Linked DNA regions of Lonchura striata. The protein of the gene in region 2 purifies or fractionates together with the protein of the main gene of each other region. This does not show direct contact. Links are inferred from orthologs where the notes say so. Each region holds a gene or a part of one and is shown on either strand. Other genes may lie near its edges.

What was found. The genes of interacting proteins can lie anywhere in the genome.
Region 1: the proteins of caspase-10 (region 2) and FASLG purify together in Homo sapiens (co-immunoprecipitation; 3 studies listed by BioGRID and IntAct, with this or other methods). This does not show direct contact. The link is inferred for Lonchura striata from reciprocal best matches to the Homo sapiens genes CASP10 and FASLG.

What each region holds. Positions count from the first base shown.
Region 1 is NC_134611.1:357,266-367,741, forward strand, and holds FASLG (tumor necrosis factor ligand superfamily member 6), read right to left. Parts: upstream 4,490-10,476; 5' UTR 4,438-4,489; coding exon 4,084-4,437; intron 3,757-4,083; coding exon 3,711-3,756; intron 3,628-3,710; coding exon 3,599-3,627; intron 2,797-3,598; coding exon 2,772-2,796; intron 2,034-2,771; coding exon 1,639-2,033; downstream 1-1,638. UniProt on the Homo sapiens protein: Cytokine that binds to TNFRSF6/FAS, a receptor that transduces the apoptotic signal into cells. Involved in cytotoxic T-cell-mediated apoptosis, natural killer cell-mediated apoptosis and in T-cell development.
Region 2 is NC_134610.1:27,086,360-27,096,439, forward strand, and holds the start of caspase-10, read right to left. Parts: upstream 4,190-10,080; 5' UTR 3,870-4,189; intron 2,873-3,869; 5' UTR 2,836-2,872; coding exon 2,522-2,835; intron 2,379-2,521; coding exon 2,279-2,378; intron 1,714-2,278; coding exon 1,578-1,713; intron 745-1,577; coding exon 656-744; intron 1-655. UniProt on the Homo sapiens protein: Involved in the activation cascade of caspases responsible for apoptosis execution. Recruited to both Fas- and TNFR-1 receptors in a FADD dependent manner. May participate in the granzyme B apoptotic pathways.

The DNA of each region.
Region 1 (10,476 bases), on a different chromosome or scaffold from region 2:
CAGACCACTGAGAAGTTTTGAAGAAATAAACTTCTCTGAAGCAAACAACACAAACCACAGGCCACCAAGCTGCGAGCAGCACCGTGGCAAAGGAAACAAATGCTGCAGGCTGCTGGGGAGCCACAGGCACTGAGAGCAGCAGCAGAGCTGCAGGAGGCAGGAGCATGGGCAAGGCTGAAGATGGAGCAGCTGCAGCCTTTGTGTCCTGCTGGTGGCAGGGGCAGTGACAACCCCGGGGTTAGAACTCCGTGGGGCTGACACCAGGATGAACAAATAGGCTCTGGGGTTTTTTTTTACACCACTTTGTTTCTTTGCCCTTAGACCACTCTGTGAGAAGTGTTTCTGGGGCCAGAGGTCACACAGTGGTGCCTTTGGAGACAGGCAGCAGCACTTCTGCTCAGCCACCAGTGCCCAGCTCCTCTCCAGCTCTGAATTGAGCTCAGCCCTTCCTGGTGGCCAGCATGGGTTCGGGCTGCCTGCTCTGTGCTGCCCACACCACACCTTCCCAGCCCCAGATCCTGCTGTTTCAGTGCTGGAGCTCCAAAGCCTCATGGAAAGGGCCTTGTGCAGTGCCAAGTGGGCAGCAAAGAGGGATGAGGCTCCCAGATTTCTGCCACGCTGCTGGAGAAGGAATGAGGCACTGACCCCTGATCACAGAGGCTTTGCAGTGCTTTGGCCATGGCCCAGCCTGTTGCACCAAATGAGGAGAGGACCACTCACTAGAAAAATATATATTTACTATCTGTGTTTTTCTCAGGAGGGAATATCTCATGGCAAGGACCCAGCCAAAGACAGGTGCCAGCATGTCACCAGCTGCATCAGGAAAGGGCTGGCAGACCAGGCCTCCATGGAGAACCCTCCTGTGCTGAAAGGGCAGCAGGGGGGCTCGAGATGCTGCTTCCACCTCAAGCCCCACTGCCCTGCGCTGCTGTGTTGCTTAGATTGCACCAGCAGAGCCCGTGGCCACCCCACCATCCCCACCACCATGGGGTGGTCACGCTGCCACCTCTGGGACATCCCTCAGGGCACTGCTGCTGCTGGCATGTTCCTTGCAAGGCAGCTGGGATGAGTTAAATAAAGTGGTTGGGGAGCATTTTCTGGGTTGGGAACGGTCCATAGCTTAACACCAAATGAACACAGCACCTATCCCAGCCCAGACAGCAGGAGCTGCCTGTGGTACAGCAGTCCCACAGTGCTGGGCAGCGCCTGCCATGGCTCAAGGGGAGCAGTTGTTCACACTGCTCATCCCCACACCACTGTCTGTGGTGTCGTGGCACGACCCAGACACCTCCATAACACCCCCCAGCTGTCCCCACCAGGGCTGTGACACCACGGGGAGCAGCAGATCCCACCATCTTCTCAGGCAGTAGTGAGTTCCAGCAGGGTCTTCTGCACGCCACTTTCTGAGTTTGTTGGGGTTTTTGTAAGGAGAATATGTGCAATTCTCTTCAGGCTGATGCAGCACAGCCTGGTGCTTTCCAGGTGTCCGCTTTCAAGCCTTTCCCAGTTGCTTGGATCCCCTCGTGCTGAAGCCCAAACACGGTTTCTGGCTGGGTTTTGTGGTGCCCAGGCAGGACTCAGCCCTCACACATCCGTGTGGGTGTGGGTGTGTGAAGGGGCTGCCAGCCACGCTCCCTTTCAAAGCTTAAACAAACCAAAGAAAGTCTTGGATTCCTCAAAGTTCACCAGGGCGATTTTGGAGACGTTGACGTGCAAGCTGTCCATCTTCCTGAGCTTGAAGAGAGCCCCCAGGTAGCTGTTGCGGGCCCACATCCTCTGGTCCTTGCAGAAGTTGGTGGCTTTGTCCTCCATGAGCACGAGGCTGCCCGGGGAGGCCGGGTTCCTCTTGTACACCACGTGGGACAGGAGGTGGCTGTCACAGGCGCTGCCGCGGAACAGCACCTGCGAGTACACGAAGTAGAGCCCCGCCTCGCTGACCAGCAGCCCCCGGTCCCGGTACTGGATGCCGCTGGTGTAGGCATGGCCAGAGGTGGGCTCCCACTCCAGGGGCAGGTCCCGCTGGGCTGGGTTGCCTGGAAGCCAAAACGAGACCCAACAAAATGGTGGGAAGCACATTGGGTCGGGTGGTTTTTGCTCAGGTCGCACCCCACGTCACGAGGCAGCCGTTCTCCAAGCCTTGTCTGCAGTGTGGGAAGTCCTCCCAGGCCTCACCCCTCACCAGTGCCAGCTCCAGTGCCACCTCCTGCCCTGCACACCCCAAAAACCAAGCCAGAGCCAGGTTTTGCTGAGAAGCATAAGTGAGGGGGAGGGTTCTGTCTGAGGAGCAAATTTCCACTGTCAGAGCAGACATGTCACCCAAGGAGGACAGCAAAGCCTCTGTGGGGTGGGCTCCTCATAACGCCAGCCATGGCACCCCTGAGCCCATCCCAGCTGCCATGGGACCCTCTCTGAGCCCATCCCACTGCCATGGACCCCTGAGCCCATCCCAGCTGCCATGGCACCCCCTGAGCCCATCCCAGCTGCCATGGACCCCTGACCCCATCCCAGCTGCCATGGGACCCCTGACCCCATTCCAGCTGCCATGGCACCATCAGAGGCCATCCCGGCTGCCATGGGACCCTCCCTGAGCCCATCCCACTGCCATGGACCCCTGAGCCCATCCCAGCTGCCATTGCACCCCCTGAGCCCATCCCAGCTGCCATGGACCCCTGAGCCCATCCCAGCTGCCATGGCACCATCAGAGGCCATCCCGGCTGCCATGGCACCCCTGAGCCCATCCCACTGCCCAGCCCTGCTCCCCCAGCACGTACCTGTTACATGGGCTGCCCTCCTCACCTCCTTCCCCTGCCCTGCACAAAGATAGAAAAGACATTGGCCACAAGCTCCACGGAGGAGTCAGCCCAGAGAGCAGGGGGCACCTGAGACCCTGCAAAGCCTCCATCCCACTGCCAGGCGGGGAGTGGAGCTGCCCTCAGGAAGGGAGAGCACAGCTGGGAAAGCTCTGCCTGCCCTGCAGGCCTGAGTTCCCTTTGGAGAGATGGGCCCATTCCAGTGACTCTGTATTTGGAGCCCATCCCACTCCATCCCTTCACTTCTCCTCAACATCTACTTCATCTTCTCTAATTTCAGAAGCAGCCTTTTCTTTTCAGAAGCCAATTAAATTTTCCTCTCCGCTCCCCCTTCTCCTTTACACTATTTCCCTTTATCCAGCTGCCTCAAGAAATTCAGGTTTATTATTTATGTTCAGTCTCTGCTAAAGAAGCCTGTGATCAGAGCACTGGGCATTGCAGTTCAAATGAGAGCTCACCTTCCCCTAAAGAGGAAAATTTATTGGCATAGGAGTTGATAAGAACCAGGACTTCCCTTTCCCAAGAATTTTGCTATTTCAGGGTTTTTTTTATTCAGTATCAGAACAAATTTGAAAATAAATTTTCTAATTAATAAAATTCTCAAGGGGGAAAAGATGAAAACTTTTCAGATCTAGAAAAAGCTGTCTAGAGGACTGAATATCTCTTTCTGACTTGGTCATTTTTGAAAAGGATATCCTCACTTATAACATTAACATGGAATGCAAAAGAAAAGCAATAGTTTGGAAGTTCAAACCACAATTCTTAAATTGTTCCAGCCAAATTGAAACCTCTCTTTTTTTTTTTTTTTTTTTTTTCCCTAAATGAAATCTAGAAGAATTGGCAGGTTCTTGTGGAAAGTTTCAATTTCACTGAGGGTTCCTCCTGCAGGCACGGACTCACCTGTGAGTTTCTGAGAGACTGGAGGGATGTGCTCAGCGCTGGCAGACTGGCAAGAGAGAAGAGGGACAATGGCTTAGACTGAGAGCATGAGCAGCTGGGGACTGCCTTGGACAGTGGCTCAGTCTGGTGTTTTGGCTCCACGGGGAGCTGCAAAGTGCTAAGAAATACACGGGGAGAGAGCTGGCAGCGCTCGGGAGCACAGAGATGTGCTGATAAATCAGTCACCAACCGAGCAGTCCCTCACGGGAACAAGCAGACAGAGAAATGCCACCGAAATGCCCCCATCCTGCCCCTTGGGAACATCTCAGCCCCGTTCCAAGAGTTCCTTTTCCCCGTTTCCCCAGGGACCTGCTCCCAGCCAGGCAGACCTCACCTCTCGGAGTTCATCCACCTCCTTCTCCAGGTGAAAAATCTTAAATATGCTCAGCCCCACTCCGGTGAAGGCCACCAGGATCAGCAAGAACATGACGAGGAAGCCGACACTTCTCCTTTCCCGGTCGCTGCGTGGCTTTGTGCTCCGGTCGGGGACGGGCGGCGGGAAGGGAGCGGCGGGGGCAGCCCCAGCATCGGCACAGCCGTCCACCCAGAAGATCTGCGGGTAATAATTGAGGTTCTGCTGCACGGGCGGCAGCGGCACGGGCCGGACCTGCCTGCCGGGCTCGTCCTTGCGGCGCCCGAGCCCCGCCGGGCCAGCCCCGGGGGCGGCTCTGCCCTGGTACGGCTGCATCCGTGCGGCTGCGAGGGATGCTGCGACTCCGAAAGCCTCGCAGCATCGGCAGCAAAGCCCCTTCCGGCCCGGCTGGGGCTCGGGAGCCACCCTCCTCCCACAGCCCCGCTCCGACAGCCGCAGCCGCTCCCCAAAAGCGCCCGGGCCGCTGCCTCCGCACTCCCGACCGCCGGCGGGTCCGGCCGGCCGCAGGAACGGCAAAGCCTCCGGACCCCGCACCGCACGGGAGGCACGGAGCCGGGGAGCCCCCGGGGCCGGGGATGCGGAGCGGGGGAGCCCCCGGGGCCGGGGATGCGGAGCCGAGCCCGGGGGATGCGGAGCCGAGCCCGGGGGATGCGGGGGTCGCTCCGTTCCTGGCGGCCAGCCCGCAGCTCCGCAGCGCACGGAGCTCTCAAAGCCTCGGAGGGCAGGAAGGCAGGCGGGCAGAGCTGCCCCAGCGGGAGCAGAGCCAGCTCCGCGGCTGCCCTCTCACCTTCCGAGGAAAAATAGAGAGTCCGGACCATGCCGAAAGGAGCAGCACTTTCAAGAGCTCGTTACAATACCCTAATGAAAAGAGACAGGGACATATCCATTTCTCGATTTCCATTCCTCATGTACTGCAGATTTCTAAGTGGGGACAGTGAGATTTCCCCACAGATTTACAGGTGCACACAAGCAATTAGGGACACTTTTCCTTGCACTTTACAGACCCCTGTTGAAGTGTGTATTTTTATGGGGTAGTGTTCAAAAAAAGGAAATGATTAATACAAGAGCAAACCAGAGATTAATTTCTCCTGTGGCTGAAGGAAGCAATCACAATACACAGACTTTGATCTTGAACATCAAAACTGGGATCTGTAAAAGGCACATTCAAACCTTTGTACACTTGTTTCTCTGAAGCAAGGGCTCAGCTTTGCCTGCAACCACACCAATAAATCAGATGTGCTGACAATGTCTTGCACCACCAGACACCCCACTGCTTTTTGGAGATATTCACCAGCCTTTTGCTTCAGCAGCCATCCACATTACAGGTTTCAACAACTCCATCTAGCTCTTCCTCACACTTCAGGGTTTAAGAGACACAAGAGCAGAAGAAATCCAACCCTAACAAGTTCAAGCTTGGTTGTGCCTAGCCTGGCTCAGTCCCCCTGTCTCTGTCCCAGAACAGCCACCCAAGTCCCCATCCCCTCCCACAGCCATTACAAGAGAGGGTCACACTATGGCTTTGCCTGGAGAGGATCCATTCCACATTTTTCTGACACTGTGTTAATGCCAACAGCTTGTTGAGGTGGGACTGAGGAGAGAGTAGCAGTTTCCCTTAAATGTCACTAGTATTCTTACTCCACACCCACTGCTTCCCGCTTTCACAAAGATGTTTTTTAAAGGGAGGGTGAGAGGGAGAGACAAGGAAACCAACTGAAGCAATTTCAGCTGCACCTTCTTTTTTGGATGCCCAGATGAAGAGCCCAAGATCCTGCTAACACCCCATGTGGTGGCAAACCAAAGGTTGGGGCTGTTTTACCATCAAAAATGCTTAGTGCACAAAATGCTTTCAGGGACCTCTCCCTCTGCTGGCCCTGCTGTCACTCTCCGTTTTCCTGCCACCCCCTTCAGACACCACAAGATGCCAGACACTGACTGGGAGGTGGTGCCAGGCAGGGCTGTGTCTGCAGAGCACATCAGAATCCCAGAGCCACAGGATGGCTGGGGGTGGAAGGGACCTCTGGAAATCCTCTAGTCCAAAAAAGAAAGCAGGTTGTGGTGCCTGCAGGCTCTGTGTTCTGCTGGCTTCAATGCTCAAATGACACAGGATATGAACAGGACCACTGAAATAATGGCAGGACAATTTGCTGTAGGTGGGCACTTCAGGCACGTGAATTTTGCTAGAAGGCCTAGAGCCAGAATTTAGACAAGGCTGAGGCCATCCTAACAAGGACAGCTGGGCAGGAAAACAGGGCATAAAGGAGGACAAAAGGGGTGTCAGATTTGCCTCCACCACCCTATCCCCCTCTTGAACCTGTCTGTACACCCTGTTTCCAGCAGCCCTGTTACATCACTTGAACATGAAGGAATATTTTCCAATGGAAGCACCTTCCATAGCCCTCACCAGAAATTGTTCCCCTTTACCAAACCAACAAAAACATTACACAGACTGCAAAAGAGGATTTGCTCAGAAGAACACTCTCCTTCCCCAATTCACCCGCAGAGGAGAGGTGGGAACTCTTATTAACAAGACACACAATTATGTTAAAGTTGATGGCAGAGAATCAGCCAGCAGCTAAGAGTTTGTATCAGCAGAATTTAGGGACCTGCCTGAAACAGCCCGAAGAAAGCAGGACTTGAACAATGATCCAGATCTAATACTTGACAGAAAATAAACCCTGAAACTCAAAACAAAAACTGAAGTGTGAACCTCTGTGTAGGAGAGGCTCTCACTGTGTTTTGGACAGTCTCTCTGGAAGCAATTAACAACTATTTCCTATTACACTAATGACTAGTGGAAATGGTAAAAAGCAGCTCTTGAAAGCCGCAGGAAGTGCACCCAAGAGCAACTGGGAAAGTTGAGAATCATTCACATTCAAAAACACAGGATTCAACATCATTAGGACAGAGAATTGAATCAGAAGAAAACAAGGCAAGGAACAAAGACTGAAGATCAAGCTCTTTGGGTAGAAAACAATGTGCTAGAAAGAAAACAAGTCTGAAGCTGAGAGGCACCTCAGCTGGACATGAGCTTCCAGCAGGGAAAGCCCACAGGGAAAGCTCCCGTGAGAGCTCACACACAGCTCTGGACAGCACAGACACTCCTGGAATCACTTCACAAGTCTTTGTTCAACTCCAGAGAGGCTCTGGAAGAAGTTGCAGGAACTGTTGGACAGAAAGGAGGTTCAAATTTGTCTGTTCAAGAGCAGATTGGCCGGGAGGGATGGACAGCGTGTGGAAAACCTGTAAAGAGAGGGATGATTTCCAGCTCTTAAATCTCACAGGATAAAAAAGCTTCCCAAGGAGCCACGAGTTGTGAGCCAAATCTGAAGGAGTTTGAACGAAAAGATGGATTTTTGACTGAACACTGGTATGAATGCTTGTGAGAGCTGCCTTCAAAGGGAGTGGGCCTCCATCTGCTGAAGCCTCAGAGGGGTGTGGAAGATAGCAGAACTCACCCAGCCTTTGCAGTTAGCACCAACATCTTCATGTTGTTTTCTTTATTCTGTGTTTATTAACAGTTTGGTTTCTCAAACACAGGTGATGCTCTTCATTTCCTCAACAACTGCTCTCCTTGCAAGGAGCATTTGTTGCACATATAAGCCATGACAAGGACATTCAGATATTCACACACAAGAACAGGTTTTCAAGTCCACTGATAACAGCTCTGCCCTGGCATTACAGTGCTTAACGCATCCCTCTTCCAGTGAGCAAGGTGCTCTGTCCCCTCCTTCACCCTGATTCCAACAAGCAGCCAGCAGCCCTGGATTCAGCAAGACAGGGTGAGAGAAAACACATGGGCCCGAAGCAGATGAGAACAAGAGGAGTACCTAAAATATTACTCTGCTGCTTTCATTTCTTCTGTGCTTGTGGTGAGAGCAGGGAAATGAGGTATAGTGGTTATGAGGTCAGGGGATCTATTCTGAGAAACAGCAGCAGGGTCATTCCATGGTGCCACAGGGCAAAACAGAACAAGGTGCTGTGGCCAGCTGTGAGGAAGACCAAGAGAAGTGCAGGTGTTGAGTCCCTGTCCCCGCAGCTGAAGGGAGGACAGACATTGCCAAGGGTCTCATTCCCAAGCCCTTCTGCAGGGTCTGTGCCCTGCCCCAGCCTCTGGGCACAAAGCCAGCCCCAGCCCTGGCAAACAGCAGCTGGCTCTGCTGGCCAGGGGGGCTTGCCTGGTGCTTGACAGGTTTATTTCTTCTTGGGAGCAGCCAGCCTCAGCCCATTCAAACAAAACGGTAACTGTGGCATTACAACTCACAGAAGCTGCTTCCAGTTATTTTTCTGGGAAAAGAGAAGCAGCAGACAGGGGCTGCTGTTTGCTGCGAGCTCACAGAGGGCACCGCAGCTGGACGGAGGCTCCAACCACATCTAACAGGGCAGAAAAACTGGCCCCAAGGTGGCAAACGTTTCTGTTCCATCTCTAGGTCCACGAGGGGCAGAGCTCAGCTCCTCTGCATCGCCTCCCAAAAGCTGCCCTGCTGCGTGGGAGCTCCTGGTGACTCAGTGGAAAGCAGCAGAGCAAGGGCCAGCCCCTGTTCAGGACCAGAGAGCAGCAAGGCAGCAGGAGCCTCCTTGGAAGCTTCTTCCAAATCCATTCTGCTTAAATTGGAGAAGGGCTGTCAAGGTGAGTGAGCTTCCGCACTGAGCTGTCACCTGTGGGAAGAGGCCCTGGAGCTGTCACCAAGCCCAGCAGCAGCTGCTGTTGGACACTCAGGGTTTCCAGGAGATGAGACACCCCACAGCACCCCGTGGGCAGGGCTCTCCACTTCTCTGTTCCAAATGAAGTGGAACATTTTTGTACCTCACAAAGCAAAACCTGCTAAGCTGTTCCACCTCGTGCTGTAACTTGGCAAAAGCAGAAGCCACACACCACCTCAGATCTGAGTTTTCTGCTTACATCACCACACAGGCTGGTAGGGTCTGCATCTTCAAGAAAGCCTGGATTTCCACTGATATTGAATGTATATGAACACCTTACTTTGGCAAACACAGCAATGCACTTACACCAGGTGTGTTTGCACCCATCCACCCTCACATGGAAACCTTCACAGGACCTGCCCAAGGACTGAGGGACACCATCCTCACTCCAGCACACACTTTGCTTTTAGGTGTTTTACACCAACAGCTGTCCAACCTTTGCTTGCAATAATGAGACAGTCACACAGGAATTTCTGATGTATAAACTGTCTTCATTAGAAATTATTATTTCTACATAAAGTTAATAACCAATTTAAGAGACTTGATTCCATAGAACCAAATTTTGAAAGCAAGATTGCATGACATTATTAAAACTGAAAGTAAAAAATTACTCAAGAGCCCACATGAAAGGAAAACATTAGGCAATCTCTTACCTGATGGTAATTTTTTTAAAGGAAGTTAAAAGATTACTAAAAGCAGCGTGGCAGTAGCAGGTGGAATCTGTGGTTCAATCTCCAATTTCTTACCAGAACACACTCTCAAGTCTGCAAAACCATAATTGGGCCAGTAGGTTCCTTCGGATGCTTTATTTCCATGGCACACTGCCCACGTGTTCATTACAGGACAAGCTTTATCACTGGTACCTTTCCACAGAATGCATCAATTCCTTAGACCTAAGTCAGGCCCAGTATAGAGGGAGCAGGGTATTAAGGGACCAGATTAGAATTACATTTGGTTTTACATCTGCAATTGTCAACTTGGAAATCTGAATATGTGATTGGGATTTCAACATGCAGTCCCATTTATCAGCACAGGATAGAGCTGGGAGTTCTCTAGTTCATAGCCAGTGTCTGCTTTAAGAAGGGCTGTTTAAGAATTCGGTCATGTCCAGCTTCAGGTAATTCCTACTGAAAACCCCTGGGCAATAAAGGTATACACACTTCTAACAAGTGACATAACAAGAGGAAGGAGTAAATAAAAGAAACCCACACTTCCCCACCCCCCAAAACACCCTGCACACTCCTCCCTCAGCAAACTCCACATTCAATTATATTTTTAAATCCTAGTTCTGTGATGAAGCAGAGTCCTGAGACACTCAAGTGAAAACTCAGTGCTGGGGAGGTCTCCTCTGACAAGCAGATGCTGGCCAGCCTGTGAATCTGGCATTTGGCTGCACAAATCCTGCTGGGCTTGACAGAAATAAGTCAGGGGGGAGGGACCAATAAGGGGCAAACTTCAAGCTGAAAACTCTGGTTTGAGATAATACTCTGGTTTGAGATAATGACTCTCTTTCCTTTCAGGGCCTCCTGTACCCTTCATAAGCCTTAGCTCTGAGTAGCAAGAAGTCATTTCATGCAGTTCTTCTCACAGTGTACCACCATGTGCAGGGATGCCCCAGGACAAGGTGTGAACTGACTGCTGGAAACCTCTCCA
Region 2 (10,080 bases):
TACAGCACAGAACTTCAAGAAATTAAATGGCTATAAACAAATGGAGCAACTTGCTTTTTCAATATCCATGGTCGTCACAAAGAAAAGGCCAGAGGGAGAATTCAATGGTTACACTGCTATGGTTAAAGAGTGCACATAAAGGCCTGTAAGAGGGGATCTCACAAAAAGGATCTTTTCTCATATACCAAGACCTCTGCAATAGCTTACTAAAAACTCTGGCCTCCTTTTAATCCTTCTAACAAAGGCTTTGCATGCTACCCCTTATGACTTCTAATTTCAAGATGCCCTGAGGCTGTTTTGAAACCAGATGCAAAAAGTGAGAACTGTGAAACTCCATTTGTCTCTGTGTCTTGCACGTTCTACTGCCATCACCAAAATGCAAAATGTTTTGCCTTTATCAGGAAGATAAACACTGATGTGTGAATCACTTCAGAGGTATTATGTCCATTTTGCCTACAAGATACCTTTCAATATTGCTAAATCTCTGGCCTCCAAGGTTAAAATATTCTTTGAAACATTCAAATTTATCAGTCAACTCAAGAAACTTTATGAGCCTGATATTTCACAAGCCCTTGCATGATAAATGTCATTCAAGGGAGGATGAAAACCTCACACCCGCAGGTATTCAAAAAGGATTTAAGAGATTGTCTCAAACCTTGGGTTCATTTTCTACATTGCTGAATTCTCCACGCAGCTCCAGGTTTAGCTCAGAGAAGCTTTGTGTAAAATTAGTTTTCTTGTTATCTAGAAAAAACCCCAGCATAGGTATTTATGAAGATAAATCCAATATTTGTGGATGCAACAAAAAGGAGTTTAGCTACAATACATCACTTTTTGTATTTGAAATACTCTTTCACTGAAAGAAATAATTATTCCATACAAAATAGCATGGTCATGTTCAATAGATCTATTCTGATATTCTAGATCTATTTTTTGCTTATTTTTATTAGATGTATTTTTGTAACAAAGGCAAGGCTTCTATTTGTATCGATACTGCAAATTAAAGATACCCATGGTACAAGGATAAATTCTCCAAGACATTCAAATAAATTTTTCATCTGGAAATCATCTTAGAAATTACCAGTATTTAAAAAGAATATGCCTTCTTACTACTGAAGTTGTCAATTTTTCTCATTAATCAATAATAAATCTATTTTTTAAAAATATAAAACCATAAATAATTTGTTTGCTCATAGCCCATGTATCAGACACACATAAACCCACACAGTGTGTCTTGCCAGATTCACATTCACAGATCCCCAAGTGCCTTTTACAGGACAGTTGTCATCATCTCAATACTATTAGTGGGGAAATGGACAAATGAGACATAACTATCAGCAGATTTTCAGTTTCCCACCCTGTTCTGTATGTGCTCTGGGTTGCTCAGATATTCCAGCACATCCCTTTATTTCAGGGATTCAGCTAGGAAATTATGCAGGCTTGGAGTTGTTATGCCAGATTTATGCCACTCTAGCTCCCATTTAGCAATACACACATATGACCTTAAGTTCAGTAGCCCAGACCCATAGTACTTCCTGCATTTTAGCAAACCTGCTCCTAGACAATCAATTTCTCACCTTTTCCCTTTTTGTAGCAGTTTATTGTCTCCAGGAGATCAGGTGAAACAGTCATACAGACCTCCTCCAGTATCTTTACATTGTCTGTAGTTAAAAGGCCCTGCTTTTCCAATAAAGTCAGCAAATCCAAAGCAGACTGACAGCCAAAAGGAGAGAGTAAAATATAATTATTGTTCTTTAGAAATCAAAGCTTGCCTCTCAGCCCTGTCTCAAACAATCACATTATTATCTGCTTTGCTCCCTACCAACAAGGACCAGTCAATTTTACATCACCATTACAGCAGAAATGTTGCTTCATGGAAGCCACTGGTTGTGTTTTTATTTGGTATGGTCTTGTTTAAACAGATTCACCCAAACCGTATTAATGGCTCGTGGCTTCAAGAAGGCTTCAATGCTGTGAAACTACCAATGACATATGGACATCAATCTCCCTTGCATATGGCTCAAGCAGGGCAAAGATTTGATTTGTCACCTTTTTATACTCTGATGCTAGACAGTGAACTGTCAGTGACTGACCTTAGCACGAGGGACCAAATTCTACTCTTGCCTGTCAACATCTTCCTTCCTGCTATCCCTATGAATACAACCAGCCTAGTTGCATATTATGCTCTATTCTGCCAAACACTGCTCACACTTTTTCTTCTATTTCCTGCCTTCCTTCTTCCCTTCCCACCATTTGGCTCATTTGACTCCTCACATACAGGAATTATCCATCCCTTTGGAAGATGGTTTTGCAGGAGGAAAATTATTTCCTTCAACATGTCACTGGTGATGTTCTCTGCCAATTCATACAGCATCTGCCTGTAACAGAGACAGAGTGAGATAAAAGTGGAACAGAAGATGGCATAAAAACCAAAGGCAATCTAAGAATTTAAAAATGGAAAAGAAAACAGTATGGCATAGATAGCAGTAATGGAGGGAAGAGAATTCCACTGCAAGCTTACCTGTATGGAGATATTCTTCCCTTCTCACTCAGATGTTCTTGTACTTTCTCCTTGGTGTAACCAATTTTCTTGAGCAAGGAGTGACATCTAATTCTATATAAGAGTTCAGCTAGTAGGAAAGTATCTTCTGCATTCAGATATTCTTGAGCCATAAGGAGCTTGAAGATGTCTGTTGCTAACTTCACACCTTCTAGTCTACTGAGGTGGAGCAAGTCAGTACAGAGAAATTTTAAAGCTGCTACATCTTCAGTCACCAGACTTTCACTAATAAGAAAAAGCTGCTGATGGAACTTCAAGCTGATATTATTCTCCATGTTGCTGGAACCAACAGCTGAAACAGCTTCTCTCTGACTGAAAGCAGAAAGCAAACACTAGTAACACTTAAATCTTCAATACAGCAATCCTTCTACTAAAATTTTATCCAATGGTTGTTTGGAAGCCCTGAATTATCTTTTAATAAATAAAGGTTTTAAATAAATTTGAAATTTACTTCCTTGTCTAAACACAGAACACAGAAAGACCAGATCTGGCAGAAGCTCTAAACAACCCGGTCTATAATTGAAGTTAGCCCTGCTCTGAGCAAAAAACTGTGCAAGATGACCTCAAGGTCTGAATCTTCTTTTCTTTTGAACATCTTCCACATTCAGATCTTTGCGTCTTTCTGTTGTAATGGGGAAGAGTCCCTGCAGTAACTTATTACAACTATTAATGGAGACAGCACAGTAGTTTGTGCATATTCCTTGATCTGCAGTCCAAGAGCTTGTTCTCTGGCTGTACCAGGAAGGTGTTCCTCTGTTACAAGGCTGACACCCAAACAGAAGCTGTGGAATAACCATCCACTCCCAGCTGTAATTTGCTTCCGGATTGTATTTGACAGTTGGCATAGAAAACCCCTTATAAGCCTCCCTTACAAGTAACTGGCAGTTAAAATGTAATAGCACTCAATGCTCAGTCTAAATAGGCTCTGCACAAGCAACTCTCTCTTACTCAGGTTTAACAGAGACTAATCGACTTTCTACTACACCGACTTCTTCCATGGAGCCTAGGCAGTTCAATTCTGCCCGTGGAAGGTTAAATAGATAAGAAGGTGCTCCAGTGCCTTCTAACTGGTAGATCTTCAATTTTTTGCTTATAGCAATTAGAAGCAAAGGTTTCTACAAGGGGGAGCACAATCAGTGCAGGATCTGCTCGCTGCCCAGGCTTGGAGCGGCTCACCCGCATATCCACAGCTGCCTCGGGGCATCGACACAGAAAAGTAACCAGTCCGCATCTCTGATGTATGCTTTCAGATATCGCCTCAGAAAAGGAAAATCGTATGAAATAAGCAGGATAGGAATTGTAAAATTACCTTTGCTTTAAGCTTTGTATCTGGCCGGAGCAGTGCCCCGCGGGTTAAGCCCGAGGCAAGGCGGAGCGCGCGAACCGCAGCCGGGCCCGCCGGCGCACGTGGGCAGGAGCGCCCCGAGGAGCGCGCAGCCGGGAGCCACCGCACAACGCGAGCGACGGAGCCTTCCTGCGAGCCCTCTCCCCTTCAGCCCCACGCTCTGGTACCTCTCACACGAGTTCCAGTCCCGATCCCTCTCCCGGCAGCTAGCCGTGCCGGCGGCTCGCGGCTCCCTGCGCGGGCCCTTCTGCGGCTCGCCGCGGGCGGGGGAGGCGTGTCCCGGCTCTGCCCGAGCAGGCGGCGGGAGGCAGCGCCAGCAGCAGGGCGGAATGTGGGAGTGGGGAGTGCGAGGGAAGGAGCGGGCCGCGGCTGCCAGGGCCCGCGAGGCTTCCACCAGGAGCGGCGGCACCGCCCCCTCCCGCCCTGCCGCGCCCGGGAACGGGAAAAGCCTTCAGGCAGCGCCCGGGGTACGAAGTGTAAGACGTGACCCGTAATTCGCCTCGCTTTTGCTGCCAAGCCATGTTAAAGCAGGCTACATCGCAAAAAGGCCTCGAACGTTTTAGGCACATTATTTGAATGTTTGTTTCCCGCTGGAAGGAAGCTTGAAGAGGAGCGCTTGCGGGAGAGGGCTGCAACACCATTTGTACGTGGGGCTGCGTGTCCGTGTCCGCAGCAGTAGAGGGAGGAGGAGGAAGGTGAGCAGACTCTGCTCAGTGCAGGCTCCTTGGGGCCTTCAGCATCTGTATCCCCCACAACCTCGCGTCAGTGGAGGCAGGATGAAAAGTGTCTCCTTGTTCATGCCAAAAGTTGTCCAACACACCGAGAGCAGCTGAGTTACCTGCTGAAACTGTAAGTCTTGCTGTCCTTTATTATGTCAGCTCGTTTTTATAGAACTGTAAACTTCACAGCCTAATTTAACAAGTTATATAGGTCTGCAAGATAAACAGACCAAGAATTTCAGAGTTATCCTATGGCCTAGAGGGAGACAGGGACAATCAGTCTGACTGCATACAGAAATTTTATTCAGAATATCACCATGAAACTGAGCATTTGTATCCAGTCATAGTGTCTTATTATTGTTTCTAATACAGAAGCTGAAAAATAGACATAATTTAAACCAGCCACAGAAAAGCTGTCAAATAATTCAGTACAGGAGATTTAATTTAAATTGAATATAGATCAACCACACAGACAGCAATACTCCTCAGCAATACTGTTCTGCATGTCAGAAACTTAAAACTCTGGAAAACAGAAAATAATTCTCAGAAACTCCCATAAAAAGCTTCTCTGACTCAGGTATATGTAATAGGAGCCACTGTTACTTCTTATGCAGAGTTGAAAGGGGAGATCAGCCATACAACATGCTCCATCTACAAGTTATACCACAGTAACATCCTCTTGAATATAAATTCTATTTTGGATAATGAGCTCAATTTACGGCTCAGCCACATCAGTGTAGGTGGCTGAGAAAAACCATGCAACTCAAGTCTGGTACAAAACACCACTGAATCTCTTGCCTCTTGCATACAGCTTCTGAGCCACTTAAAGACATCACCTTCTATATATGGAGCACATACAGAACTACAAGAAATTTTCTTCCAGTTATCAGAAACCAAAACTGTAATTAAGTGCCAAAGCATTGACTCTGACAGCCTTATTCCAACCTCTGACAATGCAGGAGCAGCGTAACTTGTTTTATCTCCTCCAACAGTATGTTCTGAAAATTAGACATTTTGGCAGTCCAAGACCACGAAATTTCACCAGCTGTATTGAAGATTTAAGTGTTACTAGTGTTTGCTTTCTGCTTTCTCTATGTTCCTGTGCTAACACCTTAAACTCATGATGGATCCAAAATTCTCTCCCCCTTTTTCTTTTGGCTAAAGGATCATTTAACCTGAGATCATTTCACTACCTGCAGTACAGGGACAGCTTGATGCAGTCCACACCCCGCATCCGTTTCTAGACTCAAATTTTATGTGTGCACTACAGCAAGAAGAGACAGGACCCCTCATGTGTATGGAGGGACACAGAAACCTGGTAAGGGTTTTGGAGTGGAGGCCCTCTGAGGAGGGGTTGAGCTCACTTGGCTTGTTCAGCCTGGGGAGGAAGAGGGGAGACCTCACTGCAGTCTTCAACATCCTCATGAAGGGAAGCAAAGGGGCAGAGGTATCAACCACTTGTCTCTGGTGACCACTGACAGGACTTGAGAAATGAAACTGTGTCACGGGAGGGTTAGGGTAGAATTTAGGAAGAGGTTCTTCAATTCTTCATCCAGAGGGTGGCTGGGCACTGGAACAGGCTCCCCAGGGAAGTGGTCACAGCACCAACCCTGACAGAGCTGAAGAAGCTTTTGGAGAACACTCTTAGGCACATGGCGGGATTCTTGGGGTGTCCTGTGCAGGGCCAGGAGTTGGACTCTATGATCCTGATGGGTCCCTTCTAACTCAGCTTATTCTATGAGTCTGTGATCCTATAAGCTATGGGAGAAGTGACAGAAGAGCCATCACAGAAGTCCTGCATAAATACTCACTATGCAGCAGGTACAGGGGATCAGCTTGCTTGAACACCACACTTGAAAGAGGTGCCAAGGCAATAAATACTGCTTAGATGAATGATTATAGATTGCGTATGGCTACGTTTGGGAATCTACAGAGGATCAGTGTAAAAAATCAGTATCTGACACCCATGAATGCTGCACAATACATGTCTATCCCCACAACTCTAGAGGATTATAACCACTTCCAACCAAGCAGCCATGCACAGTGTCCCTTCCTTTTCCACTGAAAGGGTTAATTACATGAGCCTCTAGTTTTCAAAACAGCATTTCTGCATAATTTATTAATGAAAGGGACATGGACTTACTGTCTTGCAGTAAGGCAAAGAACATATATACTTCTTAACCCCCAAACCAAATTTGTCACAAAACTGTAAAAGCAGAATCTATTCTACTACTAATATCTTAAGTAAACAGTTGCATTTAGCATCACTCTAAACCCCCCAACCAACCAGCCCACAAAACATCAACCAACTCACCACATCATTAGAGTCTGTAAAGACAACCACTATTATTCTCACTTCCTTTTTCCCGTTTTCTTCTCCTTCCAATATTGATACTGTATTTCTCATCCAAATCATCTACTTGTTCTTCTCTTGATGCTCCCTACCATTCCCCTTCTTGTTCCTGCTTAAAATTTTCACATTTCTTTTCCTCATCTGCCTCCTGTTGATTCCATTCTCTCTGCTTTTGGTTGTCTATGGGGTAGCAGAAGTGCTTGTCAAATGCAAAAGCTAGTAAAGGAAATGGGAAAGTGAAGTTAATCTGTGAAGAAGATCACATATATTAATATTACTTAGATATATGAAATTTGAAATGACAGCATATTTCTACAAGCACAGGAAACATTTGTTTTACCATTTAGTTTATCTACCAACCACCAGAGGAAGTACCTCCTAAGATTCCACATCTGTCATTCTGTATCCTTCCTTTTTTCCATTAAAAATTTAAACAGAAACCAAGCAAAGCACAGCAGGACCTTGAATTATTTTCCCGCATAGGAGTATATTAGGAGTAAAAATTAAATATTTACAAGTGGCCTACTTTATTGTCACTAAGTTCAGTGACAATAAACTTCAATACAACCCATCCAGGTTATACTGTTATACAAGTAGGCTAACTGAACTTTAAGGCAGTTAACTTTTAGTTAAGCAACTGCTACATTGGAGAAAAAGCTTTGTAATTAGGACAATTTTCCCTTTTCTTTTTTCACAAGAACAAGAGCACTTGGGAAAAAAATGAGTTAATAGAGGCATATTCTTTTTCACAAGCAAATGCGGTAAGGGCGGGGTGTTTAACATAATCCAGTTTTAAAGGCCCATGGCTGCTACATACTACATTTAAGTTGAAATATTTTAAAGTCTCTTTTTACAACTATGCCTGGTACAATGAGTGTGAATCATGTTTCAGCTTCCACAAGACATCTGCCAAAATCTCACATTTTTTTAACTGTGTGGCAGATTACTGTAATGTCCTGTCACATGTAGACTCATTTTGCATCAGCAGAAAACATACTTGGCCCAAAGATGGCAGACTGTCTCATTTATTAACACAGAACCCCCATGTGCTGTGGACAGTTCTAACAATGCAATCTTTAATACAGCAAACAGATGGAATCCAGATTATTGAAAAGACCATCTTTCTCTCCCTTCTGTTTTGCCAGTCTATAGAGGCATGCAAGCCAGAACTTGTTAGCAAAGATCTGGCATTACTGGGTAGGAATGCTTTCCTCAGACATTTGCCACTACTAGGTGCAGGGGAAAGTAATCAATGTGTTTCAGTGGTTTGGGCTGGCTTTTTATTATTTAAGTATTAACTGCTAGAAGGTATGTTAAAAACTACAAATGAAGCAATAAAAATATTTTGTTTTTTCTTGGAAAACCCAACAGCTATACAGTTTAGATCTCTTTACACTCTGTTTACCCGGGGTATTCAGTAACAAGGTATGTTGCACTGCTATACAATAGCTACTATTCTCAACCAAGCTTTCAGAGACTACAGTATTAAAATACAAAATCTAGTGTCTTAGCACACTAAAATGCTTGTAAATTCCTGTGTTTGGCAGCAACAGGCACTTTTGATATACATGAAATAACACATAAATAAAAGTATGGAATCCTGATTACTGAAAAGGGGGAGATCTCTCTCTCCCTTCTGTTTTGACAGTCTATAGAGGCATGCAAGCCAGAATTTGTCAGCAAAGTTCTGGCATTACTGGGTACTTCTTGTTAATAATTTCAGATATGTACTTTCTAACAGCAGTTAAGTGGGGAAAAAAAGTTTCTTCCTCAGTGTGTGCTGGAGCAGCAGTGAGTATTGTTGGCTTGGGTCAACGGTCATATTCCCATCATAAACTTTTTTGTTCAGTTCCATATGGATAGCCAATATACAGCGTTTCCTGCAGCAAAAAAATCAAAAGCATTCCATTAGAGAATGAAGCAAGACACCATTTAAGAATTCACAAGAGAGAAGATAACTTCAGACTCAGCATGGAGAAAGTTTGTAATTTCAGTCTCTACTGCAGAGGTAAAATCTCTAACACACAAGGCTGTACACACACACAAATTTTGAGACAAACTTTTATGACCCAAATCATTGCTGTGACATTGATTATGCTGACATGATGATCTGTGGTTTCATGACAGGGCTTTAGGGCTTGTAAAAAGGTACTAAATGTTAGCACTGTAACTACCTTGAATAACAGTTGTTAGCTCCCTGGTAGATCAGCTATATAAATAAAAACTTTGTTGGTAAGTTATAAAATCTTTGTTGCTAAGTTATATATCCAAATGCCTCTGAGTTTTGCACAGATTCGTTTGGATCTCTTTAATAGACAAAAGTTTTCTGTCAGTTTAAATTCAAGATTACCTATTGGAAATCAATTGGCTCTGTGAAAAAATGGTTAATTAAATTTGGAAATGTAGAAAATCCTTCCCTCTCTACTGCCTTTGTCCTGAACTTAAGTACTGACTGTTTACATTTGCAAGCACAGCTCATCTTAATGGTACATGGCAATCCTCAATTTAACAGAAGCCTGTTTATCTTGGAGAAGGAAGATTTCCAATCCCATCTAAAGCACTGACATACATTATCTAGGACAGGTTCTTCCCTTCTTACTCTGCAAACCCCAATGCCTTAACACACTTTAACTTTATACTGCAAAATCAGAAATTTCATTCCTAGTTTAGGCTACCTTTCTACACAATTTTATGAGGATACTTGTCTTTTGACTATGACACTGCAAGAAAACATATTTCAGGGCCAGATGGTTTGAAATTTAAGGTTTCTCATTCTCCATGAAAATAAGCTAGCATAGAAAAAGGATGATTTTTTTTACTCTTACTTTAATTTACCTTTTATAAGGATTATGGAGTAGCTCAGCCAGACAACGCAGATAATATGAGGATGAAGTTGAGGATCGTTCTAGTTTAGACACATCCACTTTGCAATGACTCCAAAAGATGTCTGCTGCTTGGGGAATCGTGACTTTAGAACTGATATTCTCAGCATTCCCATCAACTTCTGACAGACTGGTATATTCTTGCTCATTTTCTGGCACAACATAGCTCTGAATAAAAAAAAGCTTCGGTTTTCCTAGGAGTCCAGGACATGAGTCTGCTG